Linked DNA regions of Drosophila melanogaster. The protein of the gene in region 2 interacts with the protein of the main gene of each other region in a pairwise test. Each region holds a gene or a part of one and is shown on either strand. Other genes may lie near its edges.

Region 1 (7,768 bases), on a different chromosome or scaffold from region 2:
GAAACAAGATGGATTTCTCAAAAACAATTACCAAAGTTTACAAAGGAAAGCAATAATTGTAGTATGCTTATATTTCATCGGAATATTGATAAGAAACTCATGTATTGTCAGAACCGTATTCTTTTGTATTTTAATAATTACCTCAATTTATTTTATTTAAGGCAGTTACCCGCAAAACACTCCGCAAAACCAAAATTTCAGACATTCTAATTCATCCCAAAGGTCACAAGAAAGGTACTCAATGTATGTACACATGTACGTAGCTTGATAACAGATTTGCTGATGGGTCTCATTTTGCGACGATGAGTATAAAAGGCCTTTTTCTGAGCAAACATAATTCAGTGTTCATTGTTCGTCGGTAAGATGAAGGCAGTTACTTCAAGAGTGTTGGGTTCGATCCTAGTGTTATTATTGATACATTTAGTAAGTTTGAACTGGGTCATTATTTTGTATATACTAAATATTTCTTATTCTTTTAACAGACATCAGCAAAAGAAGCGGAGGTTCACTTAACAAATCCTCCAACAGAATGCAGACTGGTGTGTAATCCAGGGTATCATATCGTGGTTAAAAAGGGTACCTTGTATCATAATGGTAGGAAGCTTGACGATAATGCACGGTATGCGCCGAAGATGGCGTGTGATTTGGAGAACAGTTGCAACTTTAAATTTACGCCACAAACATTAAGTTACATGAATACAGCAATTAATGTAGGCACACAACTAACTATTAATTACGACTGCAAGCGGGATAACTTCCAAGGAGATCCGAGAAGGATAACAGATTATACGAAAACGCAAGGATGTCCGCAAGACTCTTTTGTTCAGAAACACGTCGCATATTTTAACGATGAAAATATTGCTCCCAAGAGGGATACACCTGTCGCGCAAAGGGAAAGGGAAATGATTGCCATGGGCGTATGTGCTCAGGTCAAACGTTTTAGGCAAAACAACCCAAGAACGCCCATCGATCCACATCTTGGCACAGTGTACTTGATATTTGACAATAGAACAAGTAAAAATGATTTCATGCCGAGTCCTGATGTTAGAAAGTGCCAACTTAAGCCCAATTCTCTGACCAAGACATACAAGTATGATTGCGAGAGGAAAGCGGATAAATGGACATGTACTTTTGCCAGCAAGGGAAGGGACTTGGCCATAAATGACAAGATTACAAGTCACTTAGGATGATTATCATTTTATTGTATAGGACTCAAGGCTCAAATGGGAATGCAAGACACAGCGGACTAATTTTATTCCAAACGAAATTTTAAATATACATATATGCAATTGATCAAATTCGTAATAAAAATATGAATAAAACGATAATTTGTTCATTTCTTTTATCGCGATGGAATATAGCTCTATATATCCGTTGTTATACGCTAATAATATTATGTTCTATGATCGAAGTTTTAACGCTTTTTGTGTTTTACAGAAAAACGTTTTATGTCTAAAAGCGCATTTTTCACTTAAAGGATCCGAGAAATTTTAAAAGTGGCTTTATGATAGAATTGTATAAGAGTTTATGCAAGGATTACAAGCGGAAATTCTTTTGAAAAACATTTCTTTATTTAAAGCTAACATAACTAAGACACAAATTTTGAAAATATTACGGTCTATACCAAAAAAATATCGATATTTTGTCCTTATTAGCTTATCGCACTGCCATCTAGATCTGGAAAAAATATCTATGTGCTTCTTTTCGATAGTGATGAAAATTACTTTTATCGATACTTCGCGCACGACCATCTCTAGCGCAGCGTCAGACGTGATTCGATTTTCTTTCGTCGTTCGGATCGGAGCGTAATATTGGATAGGCGGAGTGTTTAGACAAGGGCGGCCATCTTTCTGAAGTGAGGAAAACTGTAGTCCAAGTAGTCCAGTCATTTTGACAAATCGCCGTTGCAACACGTAAGTTTCTAACTAATTTCACAGTTTGCGCTGCGCCTCTGTCCTTTACTTGTGTAGGCTAACTGAAAACTGGTGCGTATGTATGTATCTGTTGGCGAAAATTTTACTTTTTCACTTGCTACCCGGGCGTCTGAAAATAGTAATTATTGATTTTCCTGGGGCTCCTTGCGTGTATTTGTGCATTAAGTAATGTGATAATGAGGTAACTGCTTTTTTACGAGGCCTTGATTGTGGATTATCGTCGTAAGCGTTATTTATTTGCATTCCAGAGCTTAGACTAATGCGTATAGTATACGTCATTGGTGCAAAACATGTTTTTATCGCGATTAAATGGGTCTTTGGCTTTTTTTTTCCTATTCTGTACTCTAACTTTCCCTCCCTTTCGCACTCATACGGCCGGCCGGCTTTCTGGCTGAATCAATTACTTATACACACTCAGCGTCTGGGCCGCCATCTTTTTTCCACTCGCAGTGATAAATTTTAGGTGTTTTTTGTTACCTTCATTTAAATTGGCCAAAAGGCGTGAATGTGTTGGTGTCGCACAAACCAGTTTTACATGTGATTAATGTAAACTGCTGACTGTAGCGCCAAATTGTTCCATTTCTTTTCCTTTTCCCCTATCTCTTTGCGTGTATGTGTGTGTAAGTGGTGTGTGTATACGCACGCTGGCTTGTTTTACGGTTTTTGATGCGGTTCCATAATAACTACCCGTAGATGTGGATAAAGAGATCTGGCGATTACTAACCCAAATTAATGAATTCCCGCTTGCATCTCAACATTTGTTTTGTTCTTTGTGCCGTTTTACTTTCAGCTTGTTTAAATAATTTCCTCGCTTAAACACAAACCCTACATTACACATCCCATAAACACTCCCAAAAACAGCAAAAAAAAACCCATCAAAATTATGGTCAGGTATGCTGCACATCAACCCCGAATATTCGAAATTATTTATGTATCCCTAGTTCCCAATTCCAACGTGATTAATTATAAAATTATATTTTTCCAATATTGTCGATATGTTCTTGTTTAAAAATTGTCAGCTTATGTAGAATAATATATCTTAAACTGCTTGGAAAATTATAATTTTATTGAATAAATTTGTCCCCCTACCGCTTCGAAAGAAAGTTATAGTTATACTGATAAGTGAATCATGTCTTTTTGCAGCGTAAAGGTCAACGGAAATCCGCAGAATCGTTTAGTGAATAACGCAAAGGTCAACGGCAACATGGCTTTCCGTGGTAACCAGAACCGCAACCGCAATTTTGGAGGTGGCAACAACAACTATGGTGGACCCATGGGCGCCAACCGCATGGGCGGTATGAACATGTCGCCTTGGGAATCGCAGAATCCCGGCGGCGGACAGTTTGGTAACAACATGCGACAGGGTGGCGGTCAGATGAACGCCCAGGCCATCAACTTGGCCAACAATCTGCTGAACAATCTGTTCAGGAACCAGAATCCACCATCGCTTCTCGACTTGCCCCGCGGCGGCGGTGGCATGGGAAATCGCAACCAACGTGGTGGCCCGGTATGTACAAAAGTTTACTTATTCTCGAATTAGTTGACAATGCCAACCGAATGAATTGTTATACTTACCTATGTTGTTATTATTTATGGGTTCGTGAACTGCGAATCGTATTTCTGTTGTGGAGTGTCATATGTTGAAATAATTTAAAAAATTCTACTAAACATGTAGAATTCAATTCAAAGCACATAGTAATCTTAATATTTTGTCTGTTTACTTTTGTTGTACTCAATATAAACTCAACTTAGGATGCCTAAATCGTATAAACATTTTGTAATTACGTGTATACCTTTTGGTAATATACTTGCTCTCCACAGCAGAACCTTTTATTTTGTGTTTTACCCTTAGTTAGATCGTAATATTGCTAAATGTAGCTAATGCTTTTCCTTTAAAAGATAAATCAAAATGATCTTAAACCTAATCTTAGCTTGTAGTTTACTAAACTAAACCGACGACTGAAAAATAACGAAAACCAGCGAAAAGAATATTGAAAAAAGTAATAAGAACTTTGTGCAGTGTAGGATGTAAGGTTGTCAAACATTAGGATTAATGTGGTATTAGGAGGATTTCGATAAAAACGCATTTATTCCATTTAAAATGCAATGCTTTTTTGTTTCGTAGAAACTGCACAAACGAATAAGAACCTGATTATTACACCGAAAATAAGAAATGACAATTTTATAAAATAATACACACGTATTGATAGCGAAATGTACCAATTAAAACATGTACCGCCAACACTTGTTCCACTTAACGATGAAAAGAGTATGATGATGATCTCCATATGTCAAGATTGAATCATAAGTAATTTATATGCAATATTTTCTTACTAGTTGTACTTAAGCATTTAATTACATTTTTACCATATTTATAATTCGATTAATTAATTTCCGAAGTTCCATTGCCAAGTAAAAGAAACTTTCTTGGCCGAACTCAATTTGCCACAACGCTTTTCTAATTTATCAATTATCTATTTTTATTCTCTCTTCCAAAACCAAACAATGCCAAACTCAAAAATTCGATGCTTTTCAATACACCTCCAAATATCGAATATCGAAACCGCATCGTCTTGCATATTTCGAATAATGCATTCCATATTGTTGTTGCTGCTCCGGCATATATACTTGCTGTTGTTGTTGTTGCTGCCGCCGCTGCTGTCGTTGTGGTTGTTGTTGTCGTTGTCGCTGTTGCGCGTTGTTGTTGCCGTCGATGATGACTCTTCCCATTTGCAATAATCCATTGCAATCAACAAAAATCTAATCCCCATTGACGGCCAACAATATTTTCGAATATCCAAATGAAATTGAATGCAAAACGCAACGCACACGCACTCAACACACACGCACACGCGATGCACACACACACGTTGTGGCCAATATGCGAATCTTCACCAACGATGCGATACTGTAAACTGTACGATGCTTCCCGTGCGACGCCACTGATTGATTGATTGATTGATTGATTGATTGACCGATTGCCAAATCGATTGACATTGATCGCCATGCAATCTTCTAATCTGCTCTGCTCTGAAACCGAAACTGATCCGATCTGGTACTGGTACTGCTTGATGGTGCAACATAATTACATCCAAAACCACAATATGAAATACCTATTAATATTTTATGTCTAATGCCAATTCATCGCCAAATTCTTCTTCGACGTTCCTGCCTCTGAAACTCAAAATCCGATTTCCATTTTTAAATGCCACTCGCCGCCACACGCCAACGAATTAATATATATATATGTTTATGCAATATATATCAACCTATCCCCGTCGACTGATTGGCCGCCGCAACTGCCCCGTCGATCTGACCAAAATCAATATATATATACCATGTGCTCCATGTACTTATGTATACTTTACTATATATCAACGATTTATTCCCACAATTATCTATAATGTGTTCAATCTGATCGCTCCGCCCCTCACACAATATTGTAAATGGCCAACCGCGCCATATTGTCTCCGATCTTTCGAAAATGCTTTGTATCATTAATGCCTCTGTTTGTAAATCAAAACGATATCAATTCACATATGCCCCATGTGCGCATTCCGAATTGTGCAAATATTTTAATGTCAATCCCAAATGATAAACGAAACAATGTATAGATGGTCAGTCGCGGCGGCGGTGCCGGCAATCGTCTCAATAACCGTCGTGGCCAGGGAGGTGGCTTCCAAAATCGTGGCGCCACTGGTAGTGGACCCAAGCCCCCGCCAAAGCAGGGCGGCGGCGGTATTCGCAAGCAAAATGCTTTTGATCGTGCCAAGAAACTTTTGGCTAAAAATGCCAACCAAAATAAAAAGAAGGAACCCACTCCTGGCGAAAAGAAAATCGAGAGGTAAGACTTACAACAACTTTTCCAAAACAAAACCAAAACCACAACAAAAAGTATAAATATTTTGCTGCCCAAAATCGAAAGGATTGATTTCTTTCACTAATATCAAAACAAATAACGAACTTAGCAGGGCGAATAACAACTTTTTACTTAAGTACTTAGGCATTCCAATTCTCTAATTGCGTTCCCTCATACATCTCTAAAAAAAAAAGTATATTTAATTAGAATTAGTTCTTCATTAGGGATAGTATATTTTTTGATGCTGTTTATAAAACTGTGTGTATGTGGGGCAACTTGTGCGGGGACTCATTTGGGTAGGGAATTGTAAATGTATAAATTTATGTGTTGAAACTACATACTATTCAAGTTCATACTAATTTTTTAAAATATAATTTACCTTAAAAGAAATTGTTTAAATATAATCTTTTCTTTCTTTGACTTTTGTGCACATTAAAAGTTTTAAAAATATTTTTAAAGTTAAAATGGAGAGAACTTTATAATTTAACTTCATATTCATGCTTAAATATTTAAATTAAATGTATAAGCTCACAATAATATTAAATTTCCTCTCCTTTTTTATTGATTTGGAAGAATATAAATTTTGAATAAATATATCATAAATGTAAGATTTCATAAGAAAAGAAACATGCTTCTACATACCTAATAATTTTGTTTAAAACATAATTTGTGGCATATTTCTTCTCCTTGCAAAGTCATCATTCTCACTATAGTAACGCATTTTTATCATAGCTAAAAACATTTATTATTGTATCACCTATCGCCACCTGTACTGTACGTATCATAAGTCTAAATTGCAGCGAGAACCACTATACTCCTATAATATAATAATCTCTTCCCAATAGCCAGACAACCAGACGAATTCCCGTCTATGAATTTCAAATTAGAAAACTAATGAATCTTTCTTTTTCTATTCCTTCTCGAACAAATCGAATGATCCATGATCAATTTTAATAGCCCTACCAAGGAGTCTCCATACGCTAGTGTGCCGAACGACATGTTCTACTGCCATCTGTGCAAGAAGCACATGTGGGATGCCAACTCTTTCGAGAACCACATCAAGGGCCGCACCCATCTGATGATGCGTGAGGGCATTGAGGAGAGCTATCGCCTCAAGGCCAACATGATCCGTCAGGAGGCTAAGATCGCAGAGCAGCTCAAGTCGATCGAGTTTGACCGCTTGAAGCGCATGGGCAAAAGCAAGCAGCGTCAGCTGGACTACTGCACCATGTGCGACCTGAACTTCCATGGTCACATCTCGACCCATCGCAAGTCGGAGGGACATTTGCAGCTGAAGAAGTTCTTGCACCCCAAGTGCATTGAGTGCAACAAGGAGTTCGCCACTCGCATTGACTACGATACTCATCTGCTGTCCGCCGAGCATCTGAAGAAGGCTGCCGAGAACAACACCAAGGTGGGTGAGCGCAAGCGCCAGACCTTGCCCATCAGCACCGAAGAAGAGGAGACCCGCGATTTGCGCCTGCCCCAGAAGCGCAAGAAGAAGCCGGTCAAGAAGGAGGGCGAAGCAGCCGATGGCGAGGCTAAGAAGGAGGGTGCCGGCGATGGCGAGGGTGCCGAAGGTGATGAAGCCGAGGGAGAAGAGGCCAAGGAGGGTGAGGAAGCTGCTGACGAGACAAAGGAGGGCGATGAGCTAAACGAGAGCCAAGAGGAAGAGGAAGTGGCACTGCCCGTGGACCCCGAGGACTGCATCCTTGACTTCAACGACGGCGATGAGATCCCCAGCGAGGTGGATACCCGCCTACCTAAGTACAACTGGCAGCGTGCTGTCGGTCCCGGTCTGATCTCCAAGCTGGAGTGCTATGAGTGCTCGGTGTGCAGCAAGTTCTTCGACACCGAGGTGACCGCCGAGATTCACTCCCGTACGGCGACTCATCACCGCAACTTCTTGAAGTTTATCAACGAGAAATCAAGCGATACCAAGATCGCACAGAAGCGCGCAGCTGCCGCCCTGGAG
Region 2 (5,498 bases):
CTGCAGCTGTGGCACAGTGGGCACCGCATGTGGGCACCCATTCCCGTGGTGGCGTTCCTATCCTTGGCGTTCGCATCCTTCAACAGTTCCTTCGTCGCTGCCGTTGGCCTGCGCTTTGTTGTGTATCCTGCGACATCTGATTCCTCGTCCTCGCCGTTTGTGGAGGCGCTCGAGATGCGAAAGTTGTCGGGGGCCTTGCAGCTTTCGTCGGAGCTGGAGCTGTTTGCCATTACAGCCAAAGCATTGCAATTATTTGTTATGTTATATCTTTTGTTATTGTTAACTTTGCTATTATCGCTATCGATATGAGGACACCTATTGCTAAACGATAGGCTGATATCGAAAAAATAGATGTCGTCAGTGTTGGACAGCGTTCAATAGGAAAACGTTTTCATCGGTGCGCGCACTTTTTAAACTTCAATCATTAACGATAAGAATTATATATTTTTTATCTTCTGATATTATATCATTAACTATACCAAAATATAAGCACTCAAAATGTATTTATGTTTTCGTTTATTTTTCACAAGAGATTTCTATAACCAAATAATTAAACTAGAACGTCCGAAAACTAATCAAAACCCGAAAGCGGTAGTGCTTTATTTTCAGAACATTCAATTTCCAGTTCGGTGCACTATTATGGGGGCAGCTCGGTTAGACCAGAGGCAGCGTTTCGACTTGGACTATAAATTTAGTTAGCTGGGGGTTCCGATCGGGAGGCTGGCTAGTCCTGAGTTCCTACTTGTTGGCCGCAGCGGCCTTGCCCACTTTGCCACCCAAGACCTTAAGAGTCGCCTCCACGAGATCCTGAACGCGGGGCAGGGCGTGGGCCTCCAGCGTCTTGGCATAGGGCATGGGCACATCCACGCCGGCGCAGCGCCATACGGGGGCGTCCAGCTCGAAGAAGGTCTGGTCCTCCATTATGCGGGCGCAGATCTCAGCTCCAACGCCTAAGAGGGTAAAAATTTATAAATATCGCTAGGCTTTCAATTAGCTGAATTTCCCACTCACCGTGTTGGGGCCAGCCGTTCTCCACGGTCACCAGATGGTGGGTCTTTCGTACAGAGGCGAAGATGGTCGCCGTGTCCAGAGGACGAATGGAGCGCAGGTTAATGACCTCAGCCTCAATACCTAAACATATAAGAGAAGGTTAGCTACTTTTCGCGTCATTCAAAGTAAAACAGTGCCGTACCCTTCTTGGCCAGCTCGGCAGCTGCCAGAAGCGATGTCTCCACCGCCTTGGAATGCGCCACCAGGGTAATGTCCTTGCCCGGCCGCATTACCTTGGCCTTGCCGATGGGCACCAAGAAGTCCTTGTCGGCCACGTTATCGGCCACAGGGAATGCCGTGCCATAGACCAGCTCATTCTCCAGGAAGACCACTGGATCGGGATCACGGATTGCGGACTTCAACAGTCCGCGGGCATCCTCGGCATCGTATGGCGAAAGGACCTTCAGGCCGGGGCAGTGGGCGTACCAGGCGGCGAAGCACTGAGAGTGCTGGGCGGCAACACCGGAAGCGGCTCCATTGGGACCACGGAACACAATGGGCACATTGACGGCACCGGCAGACATGTAGAAGGTCTTGGCCGCCGAGTTGATGATCTAAGATTTGAAATTTTAAAGGGATATATTTTAGCAATCCATATTATTATGAATGTGTAATATGACTTAGAAATAATAAAGTGAAAAATGAATGAAAATAATGCTCAGTGTGGATGCCTGTTCCATCAAACTGCAAATTCGCCAATTCAAGTTAATACGCTTTATTTGATGCACTCCTTTCTGTTCCGTCTTGATCTTTACTTAATGCCTAGTTTCTGCTTAATGATAAATGCCGGCAGGCGGCGTCCCTTCCAGAAACGCGGCAGCGGCGTCTCGTTGGCCTGCCGCAGGATCTCCGCCACGTGCTGCTCCGCACTGAATGCCTCCGCCTGCTTGATCTGGGATATCAGCTTTGCTTGGAAGGCCTTCTCTTTGCGCATCTCGCGGCGCTGGCGCACCTTGGCCCACTCGAACTTCATCTTGCGACGCAGCTTCTTTAGCTTGTGCTTCTTCATCTTGCGCCGCCGAATGACGATGAGGCGGGCCGCCTCCATCTTGTCCGACTTGCTCTTGTCCAGCGGCGGCGCAATCACCTCGCCGACTCGATCTCTGTGCAGGATGTCGTTGATCTCATTCAGCCAAGTTGAGCGTGGACTTTCAATTATGAGGCTTATTGGCAGAGGGCGATCACCGACTGGCGGCTTGGCGCAATCGAGTATCTTTGCCTGCACATAATCGGATAATATGGGTGGGGATTAGTGAGGTCCGATCTATGACTTGGGGCAGGAGCTAATCCACCCATATTATCCCATTAAGCGCCGCTGCATATTGCACTTGAATTGGTCTATTTGCTAGCTGTTGGAGTTGTGAGGCATTTGTATTGGATTGTCGTGTTCTTTCTTTTGGTTTACGTTTTGTTGGCAATGAGATAATATGAGTAGTTAGCCTACTGCTGGAGTGCGGGGAGTGGTTCTTAGGACAAGGATGAGGCAACTCACGTGATCGATGGCCTGCATGGAGAAGTTCCAGGTCATGAACTCGCACACGGGACGCAGACCGGCCATGGCAGCGCCAACAGCGATGCCGGCAAAGCCCATCTCTGTGATTGGCGTGTCGATGACGCGCTTGTCGCCGTACTTCTTCCACAGTCCACGGGAAACCTAAAAAGGGCATTAAATGATTAATAGAATGTTAGGATACCAGAAAAATATGTAGGGCTTATTCAGGATGGGAACCTTTTATCTGTTTGTAAAACTTTCCAAGCTGATAACTCATTAACTAAGATTTCTTCAGGAAATACCATTATTCTAACAGGTAATTGTATTGTACTTTGCGTGTCCTATCTAGTTGTTACACCAGTAGCCACAATCATAGTTTAAATGAATCTAATAGGATAGAATTGCTAACGCCGGTTATCAATCCACCTCAAATGGGTAAACAAATCGTTGTTTTATGGGCCAATCTATATAATCAGCAGACAGTCGGTCACACATATTCTGCGTGACCTTGCCCACTCCGATCACGCATTCGGATTCGCGTCGACCTGTTCGGAATCACTATCAGTAGTTACATATAGCACGCATATATCACCCCGCTGACCACCAACTTCCCCCATCCCGGCCACCTGCATCAGCTGTCGTCGTCGCAACCGCCTGCTTGCTGTTTACGTAATCGCGCAGGGGCAGGAAAAGTCGCAGATCTCACCTTGTAAGCACCGTCGTACTGGGCCACCTCCTCGCCCAGGATGAAGACGCGGTCGTCGCGGGCCAGCTCATCGTCCAATGCGCTGTTGAGGGCATCTCGCACGGTCATCTGCTTGGCCGCCAGGGCCTTCTGGCTGGTGGAGAACGCTCGCTGGGCGGAGCTGGCCGCCTGGATGAGTCGGGTTCGGAGCATCGTCGGTTTGCGGTTCGCTTTCCTATGGGTCTATCGCTATCGTTGCCGGCTGTAGGTGTTATTTTTTGGGTTTTAAGTGCTATTATCTAACTAAAAATGGGCTATGGGTTTACGCACCGACTTCCGTCGAAATTTTGATGTGAAAATGGGATGTGACCAGATGTGACCACTTTAATGCCGTATTGTGGGCACACTTGGAGCTTACCAGGGCTGCCAAATAAATCACTGTTAAGTGGGACTAGTGTTGGCCACTCTAGATTTGGCTAAATTCATACTGTGTTAGCTGGATTTTCGAAAAAATTAGCCACTTCGTATTAATATATATTCTTTAGAAAAATTCTTTTATAAAGTAGTGATAATATCTAAAATATAATTTAATTTGCTTTTTTTTTATTTAAGAGGTATTTCAAAAGTAAATGATTGCTAGCCCCATCTTTAGTTTTGGCCGGACTGTTGAAGAACAAGTTGGCAGCATTGCAGCTCAAAAATGCAGCTCTCGTGAAATAATTTTAGAATTTCTTATTTGTAATTTTGCATAGTGTGGGCCAGAACTAGCATATATAAATTAATGCACTGGCACGTATAGAGATGATTAAGGCATAAAAGAGGTAGTAGTTGGACCAACCTTGGTTAGTTAGCTCCGATTCCTCCGCGGCCAGCGGCGCACAGCAATCGATTTTTATTCGAGGCGAATGCTGTGGAATTTCCCATCCAACTTTCCCACACTCTGAATTCCGGCGGCGGCATTTAGTGAAACACTATGAAGGACGGCGGTCACATAACGCTCACACTCCCGCCGGGATCAGCGGCGACGACGGACGAGCGGGGCAGGAAGAGCCTGCGTCGGGTAGGTAGCAACCTGGCAGAAGTCCAGTTGCTGGGGTCCTGGGACATCCTCAAGAAACCCAGAACTTATAAGTACGATCTTTTGTCTCACGGTTCAGGCTTGGAATCAGCTACCGCGTTGTCAGCGCAATCTCATTATTCTGGGCATCACCGGATTCTGCGTGACAGTGTTGCTCTGCCTAAGTGGCGATCAGCTGCTGGCTGCCAGCTTAAAGGATGTGGACACCAAGGCCGAGGTGGCAGCATATCAAATGCCCCTGCCCAATCCGCACCATCATCCGGGGGTGGATAAGGATGTGCCCAAAGACACTGCTGCGGTACCTGTTCCGGCCGATAAGAGAGCACCCCGGGTGGAGGCGGTTAGTGATAAGGTAAGTAGGCCCCCCACTTAATTGATAAGTGCCTAAGTGGCTGGAGTTGTTTGCCTATTAAGATAGCATGCGTATCAATACGATTGACTATTGGTGTTTGATTTATTGCCCACGCAGCACACTTCCAGTAAAATCTATTAATGATATCTCAATATCAATCAATTTCAGTTTAATGAGCTAGTTGCCTATGGAGAAGCGAACTCAGCGGAGAACGTGGCCCGTCTGCCGGAGACGGTGGCTGCTGAAGGACTTCCCCAGGCCTCGGCCATGGCCGTGGCCTTGCCTCCCCCCGATAGTAACAAGGAGCAGGACATCGGTGGAATCGACATCCTAAACAATGTAGAGGAGCCCGTCGCCCAGGATCCAGCAGAGCCGCTTAGCGAGGGCGAGCAGCTTGAGCAAGCCATCAAGAACCCACTCACTCTGGGCGGCGTTAGCTTCAAAGAGCATCTCAAAAAGATCAAGCCCATTCTGGCCAAGGGCCAGCACTTCCATGGCGCCACCAACGAAAGACAGTCGGCTGTTGTAGCCGCCTTCAAGCACTCCTGGGCTGGCTACAAGAAGTATGCCTGGGGCCACGACAACCTGAAGCCCATCTCCCAGTACTCCCACGAGTGGTTCGGTCTGGGACTAACCATTGTTGACTCATTGGATACCATGTACATAATGGGACTGGATGATGGTAAGTTGCCTATATCCTAATGTGCACAAAATCATTAGTTTATGGAAATACTTTCCTTATTTTTCTCAATAACATCTACACAGAATTCAAGGAAGGACGCGACTGGGTAGAGCAATCACTGCGCTTTGATACCAAGCGCGATGTAAACCTATTCGAGGT

What was found. Proteins that work in one complex are often made in the same cells at the same time.
Region 1: the proteins of Pdhb (region 2) and Pep interact in a two-hybrid assay, tested with the Drosophila melanogaster proteins (one large-scale study listed by BioGRID).

What each region holds. Positions count from the first base shown.
Region 1 is NT_037436.4:17,639,036-17,646,803, reverse strand, and holds the start of Pep (protein on ecdysone puffs), read left to right. Parts: upstream 1-1,767; 5' UTR 1,768-1,913; intron 1,914-2,724; 5' UTR 2,725-2,817; coding exon 2,818-2,825; intron 2,826-3,077; coding exon 3,078-3,441; intron 3,442-5,548; coding exon 5,549-5,778; intron 5,779-6,750; coding exon 6,751-7,768. Other genes in the region: CG43085 (uncharacterized protein), read left to right, coding at 364-423, 483-1,190. UniProt on the Drosophila melanogaster protein: May play a role in the process of early and late gene activation, or possibly in RNA processing, for a defined set of developmentally regulated loci.
Region 2 is NT_033777.3:29,111,200-29,116,697, reverse strand, and holds Pdhb (pyruvate dehydrogenase E1 beta subunit), read right to left. Parts: upstream 3,628-5,498; 5' UTR 3,558-3,627; exon of another isoform or gene 3,490-3,557; 5' UTR 3,441-3,489; coding exon 3,249-3,440; intron 2,705-3,248; coding exon 2,543-2,704; intron 2,270-2,542; coding exon of another isoform or gene 1,802-2,269; exon of another isoform or gene 1,752-1,801; intron 1,605-1,751; coding exon 1,193-1,604; intron 1,132-1,192; coding exon 1,012-1,131; intron 951-1,011; coding exon 739-950; 3' UTR 501-738; downstream 1-500. Other genes in the region: Atg14 (Autophagy-related 14), read right to left, coding at 1-230; alpha-Man-Ib (alpha-Mannosidase class I b), read left to right, coding at 4,201-4,287, 4,385-4,657, 4,826-5,339, 5,423-5,498. UniProt on the Drosophila melanogaster protein: The pyruvate dehydrogenase complex catalyzes the overall conversion of pyruvate to acetyl-CoA and CO(2). Might play a role in regulating synapse structure formation at neuromuscular junctions. Might play a role in maintenance of mitochondrial morphology.